3 linked regions of the Callithrix jacchus genome follow. The protein of the gene in region 1 interacts with the protein of each later gene in a biochemical or structural test. Links are inferred from orthologs where the notes say so. Each region holds a gene or a part of one and is shown in the gene's direction. Other genes may lie near its edges. The genes, in order: RAPGEF2, NEDD4 and RAP1A.

Region 1 (4,282 bases):
AATGTCTGAGGTGCCAAAGTGGGCTTGGAAAGCAGGGGAGGGTGCAGCAAATTACAAACAAGCAAAATAAACCCTAAGAGGATTTAACGCCACAGAAGCAACTCCGGGCCAACTCCTGGACTCAAAAAGAATGCCCCGTATGGCTCGGGCTGGCGGGCCGGTCTTCTGCCCGGGGTTAGCTTTCAGCCCCCAGGCGGCGGCTTGGCGCCAGGAGCGGGCGGGGAGCGGCGACCCGACGCGGCTGGGTCTCCTAGGAGCCAGCGTCGGGTGTGGGGAGGGGTCGCAGCGTGAGACAGTGGGGAACACTGCGAGAGAAAAGCCCTGCGCTTCTCGCCGGGGCACCGGGACTTGCGCCCCATCCTAGGGTTCAGGCCGCGTGAGGGACCCACCAGCCCGGCCGACGGCTCCGCGACCCCCTTGCAGCCCGAGCGCTGCTCACCTGGGCGCCGCCGAAAGTGCGGCTCACACGCGAGGGCGCGGCCCGCGGGCGGGCTGGGAGCGGAGAGGCGGGACCCAGCGCAAGGGAGCTGCCCGCCCCCCGATGATGCGGCGGCCGCCGACTGGCCCCTGAGCTGTCACTCACTCCTCACCATGGTTTCAGCACAAAGCAACAAGGCCCGGAGGCCGCTTCCTCCCTGAGGAGCGGCTGGGGCGACCGGAGAAGGCGCAGGAGGAGGAAGAGGCGGAGGAAGAGGAGGGGAATCTCCGCTTCCCAAACACTCTCTCCGAGGGGGCTGTCTGCTGCGCTCGGCTCTCGGCGTCGGCCGCCCGAAACTGGGCTGCCTGCGGCCCCCTCTTTCCCCTTCTGCGTCCCGCACAGACGAGGAACAAAGTTGCCGAGAGCGACTGGGCCGGAGGGCTGCAGCCCGGGCGGGGTGCTCTGGCCGCGGCGGCGCCGGCGCCGGGGCAACTCCGCTCCGGGAGCGCTGATGGGGGGAGGCGGCGGCAGCGGCGGCGGAGCCTACAGCGGCGGCCCGAGCAGCAGAGGCAGCGGCGGCGGCGGCGGCAGGGCGGCCCGAGGGGATGCAGCAGCAGTCAGGAGGGACGGCCGAGCCCAGTAGACTGAGACCAGGAGCGGTGGCGACGGCGGCCGAGGTGATCGGGCTTCGCAGCGCCCAGACCGGTGCCAGACCCACCCGGTCCGTCCTCCCGACCAGCGGCCGCGGCGCCTGAGCGCCCAAGGACTGGGGACGCGGGAGATCGGAGTGCTTCCCGGAGACCCCTGGGTGGCGGCGCGAGCCTCTGAGAGGAGGGGGCGACTCTCAGCGCCGAGGGGGAGGAGGTTCTGCCTGCCCGCTGCCCTCCCCACTGCCACTCGTACCTCCCTAAAAATAACTCGGGCCCGCTGGGGCCAGGAGGAGCTGCCACTGTCCCCCGAGTGGAGCCAGGGAGGCGTGTCTAGCCAGGGCCGGACGGAGCCTGCGGAGCGGCGAGGAAGAGGAGGAGGAAGGAGAGTTCCGCCTGCTGGGCGCAGGGTACGGCAGCCTACGCGCGCCGCGACCCTCCCGGCTGCGCCCAGCGCCCCTCGCGCCTGTACTGCGCTCCGGGCCGCCGGGCCCATTCGAGCCGCCCCCCCCGCGGGCCCCGCGCCGCCGCCGCCGCCGCGGTTTGGCTGATTAGCCGCGGGCGGGCGGGCGCAGCGCTCAGGGCGGAGGCAGCCGCGGCGCTGGGCCGGGAGGAGGCCGGCCAGGGTGCCCAGCTGCACGACCCGAGCCGCAGGGGGGAGATGGCGTCCTACGTGGATAACAGCTTCCGCCAGGCGGTAATGAAGAATCCCCCCGAGAGGACCCCCCAGGTGAGAACGCCGGGGCCGTCTGCACTTGACCGGATTTCTGCCTCGCAGGCTGCGTCTGCTCCTGTTCCCCCACCCTCTTCCTGACATAGTTCGCCCCGAGCACCCCACTTCTAGTAGTATCAGGACTCTCAATTCCAAAGGCATCCCACCTCCGAGTCTTTCACTCCGCCTTATGCTGGTTTTAGATTTCCCTCTCCTTGACGTTCTCCTCAACGCTCCTCTTCCCATGACTGACCCCCCCCCCCATGTTGTCCAGCAGAGTGAGTGTGTGTGTGTGTGAATTCTCTAGCTTTCCCTCTCCCCGGCCGCCCTTGGGGGCCTCTGAATCTCAGGGGATGAGGTCTCATCTCCCCTCGGCCAGCGACTCTTGCCCCCCGTGACTGCAGGTCCGTTCCTCCCCTTGCAAGTGGCCCTTCTACCTTAGGAGTTTCGTAGTGTTTGAAAGGTACAGTAGGAAACTTGTACGGTTGTGCTAAAGACAAATCCATTTTGACTTTCTAAAGGAAAACATTGAGGTGTTTGTATGTTTACTATTTTGCATTTTTTTTCTTTTCTTTTTTTGGAAGGATGCTGCTTTCAATTGAAGGGAAGCAAAGTTGAATAGCTAGGCTAGTGCTTTTAAATTGCAGACCTAGCTGCAGAGCAGGCATGTTCAAATACACCCCCGGGAAGGGCACCCTGCGGATTCTTTTGGTGTTGCACAGCCCTGTCAAAATTAGATAAGTTTGTTAACCTTTATACATTTGTTTACCTTCAGGCTTATTCTTTTCTTATTTTTAGCGGCCAATAGGGTTGGATTTGGTTGTCTCAAGTTTTACTAGAGTGGGCGAAATTTTATGAAAATATGGTGGCTTAATTTTCTCTACTTTTAGTTGCTGACCCGATGATGACGCATGTTCCTAAGCATTGGGATGGTGACTACAGGAGATCCTGCCTGCCAACCCTTTTAAGACAAATAAGCCCTCCTGATTCTTGGGACCATCAAAACATTTAGGATCTAATGCTTGAAAGTGTTGCTTCCCTTGTTAGGTGTTGGATGCCATCTGTTCAAATCCAAATGCTCTCGTTCTCTGATGTTGATTATTATTTAGTGTGGGGAGAGCATAATAAAATAGAGTCTTCCCCTGGCTGCCTTTGGACAAGCCCCAAGAATGGCACCTGGTACCATTTTTTGATTTTTCATTTTCCCTGATGGAGCTGTCACATCTGGGAGATCATGGATAGATTGCACATGTTTATCAAACGTGTGGAAGATGGCGGTAGTTTTACAAGAAAATTTGTTTCAGTGTCTCCAGAAAGTTCCCATTCTAAAAGACTATTTTTATTCCAACAAGGAATGTCCTGCTTTGATCTTGCCCTTGGTGTTGCACGCACGGCCTCTCCTGTGTCTTTCTCATCTATTTAAAATTGTCAGTTGAATTAGTCTTCTGTATCTGAAAATGCACATTCCTTGTCTCAATGTGAAGGAAAAGCAGATTTCAGTGAAATATTTCCTTGTCTTTCAAGAATATTAAGTGCCAAGTGAAATTACGCATGCTGAGAATGTTAGAACCTAGCAAGGCTGGTCCGAAAATGATGTCAGAGGCCTTTGGTGGAAATTAGAGAGGGGGGAAGTTGTGCATTTGGTTGATTAGTTAGAAGAATAACAATGACTAAAACCTGCTATCAGGTTGGGAGGGTGGGTCACCAAACAAGACTAGAAGAGGCAAAACCTCCACTGTGACTGCAGGGTGACTGTGCCAAATAAATGAACTGTTAAACTTTATTGTTCCCCTGCCAGTTGTGTAGAATAGGGTAAAAGCTGACCCAACACAGAATCTTGCCTGAGTCAGAAGTAAGTGGGCCAGCTATTACTAACCCCACAACATGAGAGCTCCATTGATAGTCAGAAAGCGGCACATTTGCCCCACCAAATCTTCCTAGAAAAACCAAACATCAGGAAACCTACCAAACATTTCAGACATTCCTAAGTGTCAGCCCTATTGACTTTGATGTTCATTTGGTTGTTGCTAGAGCAAACCCCCATGTTTATTTGTTTACAAAAGTTTGCTTGACTGGCCAGAGGTGATTGTCTAAAAATTTAAAATGTACTCAGAAGTTATTTTTAAAAAAGCTTTTGTAGAAGGTGCTTTTTATATTAAGAATGCTTTGTGAATGGAATGCTGGAAAAATTTCCATAGTCTTGTCTTATAAATGTTTGTGAGTTAGAATTTCACAATATAAGAAAAGCAATGTTAAATAAGCTTGATATCGTGAACAGAAGGACAGGAATTAGGAAAGTTTTGCTGTTGTGCTTCCTTCTGTTTCTGAGGATAGGCTTGATAAAGGAGTTTGTGTGATTCTCCTTATAGGCAAAAGGGAAGTGCTTTAAAAGAAAAGAATTGGAAAATATGTAACTTATTTTTCCTGCTGTTCAATTCTATTTATTTTTTAAAGTCTTGCCAGCCTCATTCATTTCCCAAGCTCCGTGAAAACATAGGTTTGTAT
Region 2 (3,545 bases), on another chromosome or scaffold:
ATTTTATATGTGAGAAAGAGCATCTTTTTTCTTTTTCTACCCTTCAGATATAAAAAGAACACAATGGGAAGATCCTCGGTTGCAGAATGTAGCAATAACTGGACCAGTAAGTCTCTTTGTACCAGTGTGCTCTGATGGGACTGTCCTCTCACCTGTCTCTTCAAGAGCAGATAGTCAAGGGCATAATCCTACAGGCATTGAGAGGAGAGCACATTGGCCATTCTCTCCTCTCCCCTATTTCCCATACTCCAAGTCTCCGTTATTTGAAAAGATTCTATAACGTCATTACCCTTACCCTGTGCAGTAACTGCGGGAGACAAGTGAGCCAGACAGTCAGAATGGTAAGGCAGTGTGGGCTGCTGAGCTCTGTCTGGTGCCTGCCGCTATCTGAACAAAAATGATGACAGTCCTCCACAAATCAGAGAGGAGCAGAGAGTGTATCTGGATGAGGACGCAGCAGCACCCTATCCACTCTAGGGTCATTCTTAAACTTTTTGTTAGAAATCGGGCCCAGCTCATGCCTGTAACCCCAGCATTTTGGGAGGCCAAAGCAGGTGGGTCACCTGAGGTCAGGAGTTCGAGACCAGCCTGGCCAATGTGGTGAAACCTTCTCTCTACTAAAAATGCAAAAAAAAAAAAAATTGCTGGGCTTGTTGGCAGGCACCTGTAGTCCCAGCTACTTGAGAGGCTGAGACCAGAGAATCACTTGAACCCAGGAGGCGGAGGTTGCAGTGAGCTGAGATTGCCCCACCACACTCCAACCTGGGTGACAGAGTGAGACTCTATCTAAAAAAAAAATTGTAAATGCCTGTATGAAAGACACATCCACATTTAATTATTGCTGTGTATGATAATTGTACTACTCTTGAGTCAGATGGATAGGATAATTTTTATCATTCTTTATAGCTGCTTTTTCCATTTTTATTCAGATGTTTCCTAATTCATAAAAATAAGATATAGTTTTTTAATTACTATTTACTATCTCAACATGTAGTCCTTTAAAAGAAGGGCTAAAAAAGGCAGCTCCCCAGAGTTCAAGGAAAAAGTACACTTCTCACGTTTTTCCTTTAATAGAGAAATCACTTTGAAAGTCTCTTTAGAAATGGAAATTTTTTGTTTCTATATTTCTCTACTTGGAAGAAATTTCCTGTTTCTGGCATGTTACATTTTAAGAATATCGCATGATGAAAATTACAGTCATAGGAACTGCTGAATACAATTTTACCTTAAACAGAGAAATTAAACATTTTGAAGTTTTGTATTTGTTTTTCTTCTAATTAAACTTTTCTTTCCCAATATTTTTCTTTTAATGCCCTTAACTTATATTCATAAAATACCCAGCAGGGAACTTTAAAAATTGTTCCAGAATAAAAACAACCTAAACTTCTTTATTTTTCCAAAATTTTCAACTGAAGGCAGTGCCGTACTCCAGGGATTATAAAAGAAAGTATGAGTTCTTCCGAAGAAAGTTGAAGAAGCAGGTTAGTGATGTTTGTAAAAAATACTTAAGAGTCATCAATACGTAGATGGAAAGTAAAGGGAAATGTTTTTATTTTTTTAAGTAAGAATTTGTTCTATATTTATAACAACTTTGAGTGAAAAGTTTTTTCATAGAAAAAGGATGCTCATTTTTTGAGTGGCTGTAATATATCACTACAGATCATAATTACTTTATGTCTATTTTTCAAGACATTTTATAATACAGAATAATGGCATTAAAAGTTTGCTTTCCAGAGCTCTGACCTGGGTGTCCTTGTGGAGTTTGTGGGGCTTGATCTTTGTAGAATCTCAGCAAGAGTGGCTCAGGTGATTATCTTCTAAGCTAGTCTTTCCTGTGTTGGAGGTCTCTGAATTTTTTATGACTTGGTTTTTTTTTCCAGCGATAGTCATTCATTCTCTACAGCTTAAAATGTAATCTCTCTGCATACTTTAAAACTGCAATCATGAGTGGGACTGTGCTCTTATGACTTGTCTCCTAATGCTTATCAATTATGTTCACTACGCTTTTGCCGACAGCCACAAATGCAACATGTTTGGAACTAAACTTAATCATCTGTCCATCTGTTTCATTTCTGTTGGTGTCTGTTGCCTCTCTTCATTTGCTCATCCTGACCTCCGTTGCCTGCACTTTAGGAATACTACCACTAGGTGGCCATATTGGGTTATACTTACTTGCATTCTAAGCCAGAAGCCTGCTTTTACAAAGATTCAAGATGGTGGATTGGCTACCTCAAATTTTTAACAAAAATAAAACATGGTAGTTTTTTAGACTAAATATTTTATGCCTTACTAAAATCCATAAATAGCATCAACTTTCTAAACTCGTTTTTAAAAATAATTTTCTACGCCAGGCGTGGTGACTCACGCCTGTAATCCCAACACTTTAGGAGGTTGAAGCGGGTGGATCACTTGAGGTCAGGAGTTTGAGACCAACCTGGCCAACATGGTGAAACCCCATCTCTACTAAAATACAGAAATTAGCTGGGCGTGGTGGCGCACGCTTGTAATCCCAGCTACTCAGGAGGCTGAGGCAGGAGAATCGCTTGAACCCGGGAGGTGGAAGTTGCAGTGAGCTGAGATCACTTCACTGCACTCCAGCCTAGGTGACAGAGTGAGACCCTGTCGCGAAAAAGAGGAAAAAGAAAGAATAACTTTGAGTAAAAATTTCCCTGGAAATTCTTCTGCTTCTAGACTTTGGGATTTTAAATGTTTGCTGATTTATTGTTCTGGTAAATATTTTCATTCTTAATGAAAATATGCTGGGGGAATAGAAGCACTAGCTTCTCCATTTTTTGCCACTCTGAGTGCTTGACACATGTTATAGTATCTAATTGTTAATGTCTTCCAGGAAGCAGGAGATGGGAGGCAGTCCCATTATAGGCTACAAAATACAGAAATACAACATACAAAAAAAAAAAACTTTAAAAAGCAGTAATATTTATTTATCTCTCACTGCATACCAGGCATTATTCTTAGAAGTTTATATATGTCATTCATTTAATCTCTACAATAACTCTGTAAGGAAGGGAGTACTATCACATTTCACAGATGAGGAAACTGAGGCACAGAGAGAATAGGTAATGTGATCAAGTCCCATGGTTAGGTAGAAAAGCCAAGTGGTCTAGCCCCAGATCCCATGTTCCTAACCAACATGACATATCATATTAGTGATTAAGAACATTAAGAGAGAAGTTCATTTTTGTGGAAATAACCCAGAATGCAACAAAGGTTTGTAAGGGATAAACATACAAAAGAAAGGTTCAAAGACATGAAGTCATTTCAGAAGGAGGGAACCAAGATCCTGAGGAGGAGAAAGTGAATATGAATTCTCACATTAATAAAAGGGCCCAAGCAGGATTTTAAAAATCTGTATCTAGACACATCACAGCAAAAGAGCAGAACATCAAGAACACTTAGAATGTCAGAAAGTGTAGCACCAAAATGGAGATAAAGAATATTAAAAACAGCAGGTGCAGTGGCTCATGCCTGTAATCCCAGCACTTTGGGAGGCTGAGGCAGGAGGATTACTGGACCTCACGAGTTCA
Region 3 (4,246 bases), on another chromosome or scaffold:
GAGACGGAGTTTCGCTCTTTGTTACCCAGGCTGGAGTGCAATGGCGCGATCTCGGCTCACCGCAACCTCTGCCTCCTGAGTTCAGGCAATTCTCCTACCTCAGCCTCCTGAGTAGCTGGGATTACAGGCACGCGCCACAGTGCCCAGCTAATTTTTTGTATTTTTAGTAGAGACGGGGTTTCACGATGTTGACCAGGATGGTCTCGATCTCTTGACCTCGTGATCCACCCGCCTCGGCCTCCCAAAGTGCTGGGATTACAGGCTTGAGCCACCGCGCCCGGCCGAACGGGTACCTTAAATATAACATGTGCAAAAAAGTCTCTTGATTTCCCCATCCCCAAATCTGCGCCTCCTTTTCATTAAATGGCACCACCATTAAATCAGTCATCTGGCGGGAACATAAGAATCAACTCTGATTTCCTTTTGTTCTTTCACACAGTATGCCCCAAATCCAAATCCATTCTAATTATAATGTATCTAAATACAATAAAATAGCCTTCTCATCCTGTCCATGGCTGCCAGGCTACTTAATCCAAGCTACCGTACTGGTAACCCAAGGACATCTGTGCTTTCCCCATTGTGTATTTTACACACATCAGCAAGACTAACTTTTAAAAATGTGAATCAGATGCGGTCATTCCTCAGCTCACCCTCCTACTATGGTTTCCAGTTCCTGTTATAAGGCCCACAGGTTTCACTGGATCTGGCCACTGGCCCACCTCTCTGAGCCTAGCTGGTACTGCTCTCGGGCTGGCTGACGCTGCACAGCCACGCCGGCCTTTCACTGTTTCTGCACATGGCAGGCATATCCCTACCTCTGGGTTTATGGCTGATTTTCTCTTAGCCTGGAAAAGGCTATTCGTCCTCCCCGCCCCCGTGTCTGCAAGACTTACTCCTTCATACCGTGTGTATGGGCTCAAAGGTCTTGGAGACGCAGTATCTGACCAGGTGTAAAGTCACCCTATCTCCCGTTTATTTTCCTCCACACCAGTTATCACTACCTGCAGTTTTTGTCACTTGTTTGTTGTCTGTATCCCCTCTCCCACTCCACTAGCAAGCATGCTGCAGGAGGGTCTTTGCCTGTCTATGGCTTGATCCCTTTGCGCTTAGTTAGAACACCGCCTGGCACCTAACAGGTGCTCAGTTCTTGTCGAATGCTTGCGTTCCCTCCAAATTTTCTTCTTGAATCTTTGGACCCTTCCTCATTTTTTTTCCGGTCTTACCCACCTCCCATTCCGCCTGTGTGCAAAGCTAAAATTCCCCGCCCCTTCCCGGTAGTTCCAGGACTTCCCCGCTCCCCGCTTAAAGTGCGCGGCTCCTTTAAGCGGACTCCGGAACGCCGCGGGGAAGGCGGGGCCGAAGCCCATTCGCGGCTCACTTGGAGGGGCGGGACAGAATTAGGGGGCGGGGATGCGTGCTGCGTGCGTGCGCGTTCTGGAGGAGGCGCCGCCGCCGCTCCCGAGGCCGCTGCTGCCGTCGCCGCGCAGAGCCGGAGCAGGAGCCACGGGCGAGAGGAGGGAGGAGGAGGAGGAGGAGGAGGAGGAGGAGGTGGAGGAGGTGCCGGACCAGGGGGGTGAGTGAGGGGCGGGGAGCCCTAGACTGTCCCAGAGGGAGCGGGGGGCGCGGGTCGGCGGAGCCGATGGTGAGGCGGCTCATGTCGCCGGTCAGTCGCCTGGCTCCCCCTTCCTCCTCCGCGTTCCATCGGTGTCCGGGGCGGCGGCCCGGGGGCCTGGCCGGCGGGAGGGGCCGGAGATCAGGGAGGCCCGGCCACCGCCAGGGCCAGAGCCAACCACGCCCGCGGACCGACCCGGTCGACTGTAGGCCTGCGGGAGATCGTCGGGAGGGGCCCCGGCCGGCTGTGGGAGAGAAAGAGGACATTGTGTCCCCCACCCTTCAACTCCCCGAGGTGTCATAGCACAAGCCCATTTCCCTTGCCGTCTCCCCAGACTTGGTGCCCTCGCCCATCACTGCCTGAGAGACTTAGAAGGTTGGACGTCGCTGCCTTCCTCTCTTGCATGTCCCCTGTCTAGGGTCAGAGCTTCCTTTCCAACCCACCTCTCCCTTTTGGCGGGGCACACGGGGAGGGGGTTGGAGGGTTGGGTGAATTCTCTGTCCTCTGTCCTCTGCTGTAGAAGTGCGGACCGGTTGGAGCGTTGCTATGTCCGTGTTCACTTCTGTCAGGGTTCAGGGTCTCCTTTTCCTTCCTTTATTCCCCCAGTGAATAGGGCTGACATCTCTACATCCCACTCCACCTTCTAGCCCCTTTCCCGCCTTCTTTACCCCCAGGTCTTCCGTAGCTTACCATGTGTTCGCTTCTTCAATGTTACTTTTCATGAGTCTCTGCTTCTTCCCTGAATTTTGTTAGGGAAGAGGTCACAGTGTGATTCTTGTAATCTTTCAAACTAACGTTGGTAAGAGCATCTCTTGCCCCTCTTACTCAGGAAGTTAAGGACGGTGTCTTCAGCCGAATTGTGTAATTTACTGCTACGGGGAGAAGATGAGAGGAAGACATTTGTGCTTGCCAAATGGGATCTCCTCACAGGGCTGAGAACCAGAGTTTAGGGAACCTTTGACCTCTTGGAAAAAGAACTACTGTTGAGGAGTAATGCATTCTGTTTCGGGAGGGAAAATCATTTTGTTCCTTCCTTGAAGGTAGGAGGCATAGGAAGTGAAATAGAATAATAGAGCAGAAGGTGATTGGACCACAGCCCTGCAGGTAGCCACTCTTTTCTCCTTCTTAGGTGGTGGATGATGGTTTTGTTATTACAGTAAGCGTAAAGTATCAGCTCTTAGATTTAACTTGGGGCTCCTACCTTCAAAAGTGTGAAGGGCTGTCTCAGAAGAGATGCTGCTGGAAACAGGATTTGGAAACTTTCTTTGGGTTTCCTGTCAGAATGTGTGGGGGTGGACATGCCTATGTGTAGTTTTCTTTACTTGTGATGTAATTTATTTCTGTGATACTTTGACATAATAAGCATTAAATTAGGCCCCAGACTTTCTGTCTTTATTATTAGTTCCTGTAACATTTTTGTTTTGAAATTATATAGTTTGATATTCTTTTGTATATATTTCAGGGACTCTTGTCTAGTTTCCTGGGTGTTTAAATTATGGTCTACTTCAGATACGATCAGCTGTAAGGTACTGCGGATCATACATGTTCAGTATTTGTTGAATGAATTGAATGATTACCAAGATGAGTCTAGGTGTTAAATCTTCCGTCCTTTTGAGAGGTACCCTATATTAGGATATTGCATTCCACTTCCAGTTTGTAAAATAGTAATTCTTAACCTTTTCTAGGCCACTGACACCTTTGAGAATATGTTGAAATATATAAACTCTCTCCTCAGAAAAAAGTTAATAGGCATTTATTCACAAAATTTTGCATTAGTGTTAGGGACCCTCTGAGGCCAACCATGACCATCTGTCTTAAAAGTGAACTGGATGGAATCCCTGAGTGTTGCCCAATTCATATTAAAACAGCTCAAAAGTCTTTGTTCACTTTTTGTATGGCCTCAGGAAGGACAGTATCTATACTTAATATACCCCAGAAGTTAAGTATATTCGTATACATTGATCCTGTACTGTAGTCCTTCTGGGAATAAATCCCCAAGGAAAGATTCCAAGAGAAAGAAAATGTTGTATATGCACATGTTCGTTTAATTACTTTAATAGATGGGAAGAAAAGGAAACTATATGTCCAACAGCATGAAGATACACAATTTTGCAATCACTGAAAAAGGTTAGAATTGAAGATTATTAATCTCCTAATTGATCTTCCGGCTTCCACTCTTGCCCCTCCACCCCAAGTTGATTTCCACACAGCAGCTACAATGATGCTCACAAATTTAAGTCAGAGCAAGTCTCTCTTGTTTTCACAACTGTCCAGTGTTTTCCCATCTCATTCACAGTAAAAATCCGAAGTTCTTACCATGGCATGCAAGACTTACAGCAGCCCAGCTATTTCTTTCTTTCTTTTCTTTTTTGAGACGGAGTTTCGCTGTTGTTACCCAGACTGGAGTGCAATGGCGCGATCTCGGCTCACCGCAACCTCCTCCACCTGGGTTCAGGCAATTCTCCTGCCTCAGCCTCCCAAGTAGCTGGGACTACAGGCGTGCACCATCATGCCCAGCTAATTTTTGTATTTTTAGTAGAGACAGGGTTTCACCTTGTTGACCAGGATGGTCTCGATCTCTTGACCTGGTGATCCACCCGCCTCAGCCTCCCAAAGTGCTGGGATTATAGGCGG

Evidence for each region.
Region 2: the proteins of RAPGEF2 (region 1) and NEDD4 form a complex in vitro, tested with the Homo sapiens proteins (2 studies listed by BioGRID and IntAct). The link is inferred for Callithrix jacchus from reciprocal best matches to the Homo sapiens genes RAPGEF2 and NEDD4.
Region 3: the proteins of RAPGEF2 (region 1) and RAP1A form a complex in vitro, tested with the Homo sapiens proteins (2 studies listed by BioGRID and IntAct, with this or other methods). The link is inferred for Callithrix jacchus from reciprocal best matches to the Homo sapiens genes RAPGEF2 and RAP1A.

What each region holds. Positions count from the first base shown.
Region 1 is NC_133504.1:37,237,758-37,242,039, reverse strand, and holds the start of RAPGEF2 (rap guanine nucleotide exchange factor 2), read left to right. Parts: upstream 1-1,452; 5' UTR 1,453-1,726; coding exon 1,727-1,795; intron 1,796-4,282. UniProt on the Homo sapiens protein: Functions as a guanine nucleotide exchange factor (GEF), which activates Rap and Ras family of small GTPases by exchanging bound GDP for free GTP in a cAMP-dependent manner.
Region 2 is NC_133509.1:43,624,470-43,628,014, reverse strand, and holds part of NEDD4 (E3 ubiquitin-protein ligase NEDD4), read left to right. Parts: intron 1-47; coding exon 48-106; intron 107-1,415; coding exon 1,416-1,481; intron 1,482-3,545. UniProt on the Homo sapiens protein: E3 ubiquitin-protein ligase which accepts ubiquitin from an E2 ubiquitin-conjugating enzyme in the form of a thioester and then directly transfers the ubiquitin to targeted substrates. Specifically ubiquitinates 'Lys-63' in target proteins.
Region 3 is NC_133508.1:149,582,521-149,586,766, forward strand, and holds the start of RAP1A (ras-related protein Rap-1A), read left to right. Parts: upstream 1-1,431; 5' UTR 1,432-1,573; exon of another isoform or gene 1,574-1,987; intron 1,988-4,246. UniProt on the Homo sapiens protein: Counteracts the mitogenic function of Ras, at least partly because it can interact with Ras GAPs and RAF in a competitive manner. Together with ITGB1BP1, regulates KRIT1 localization to microtubules and membranes.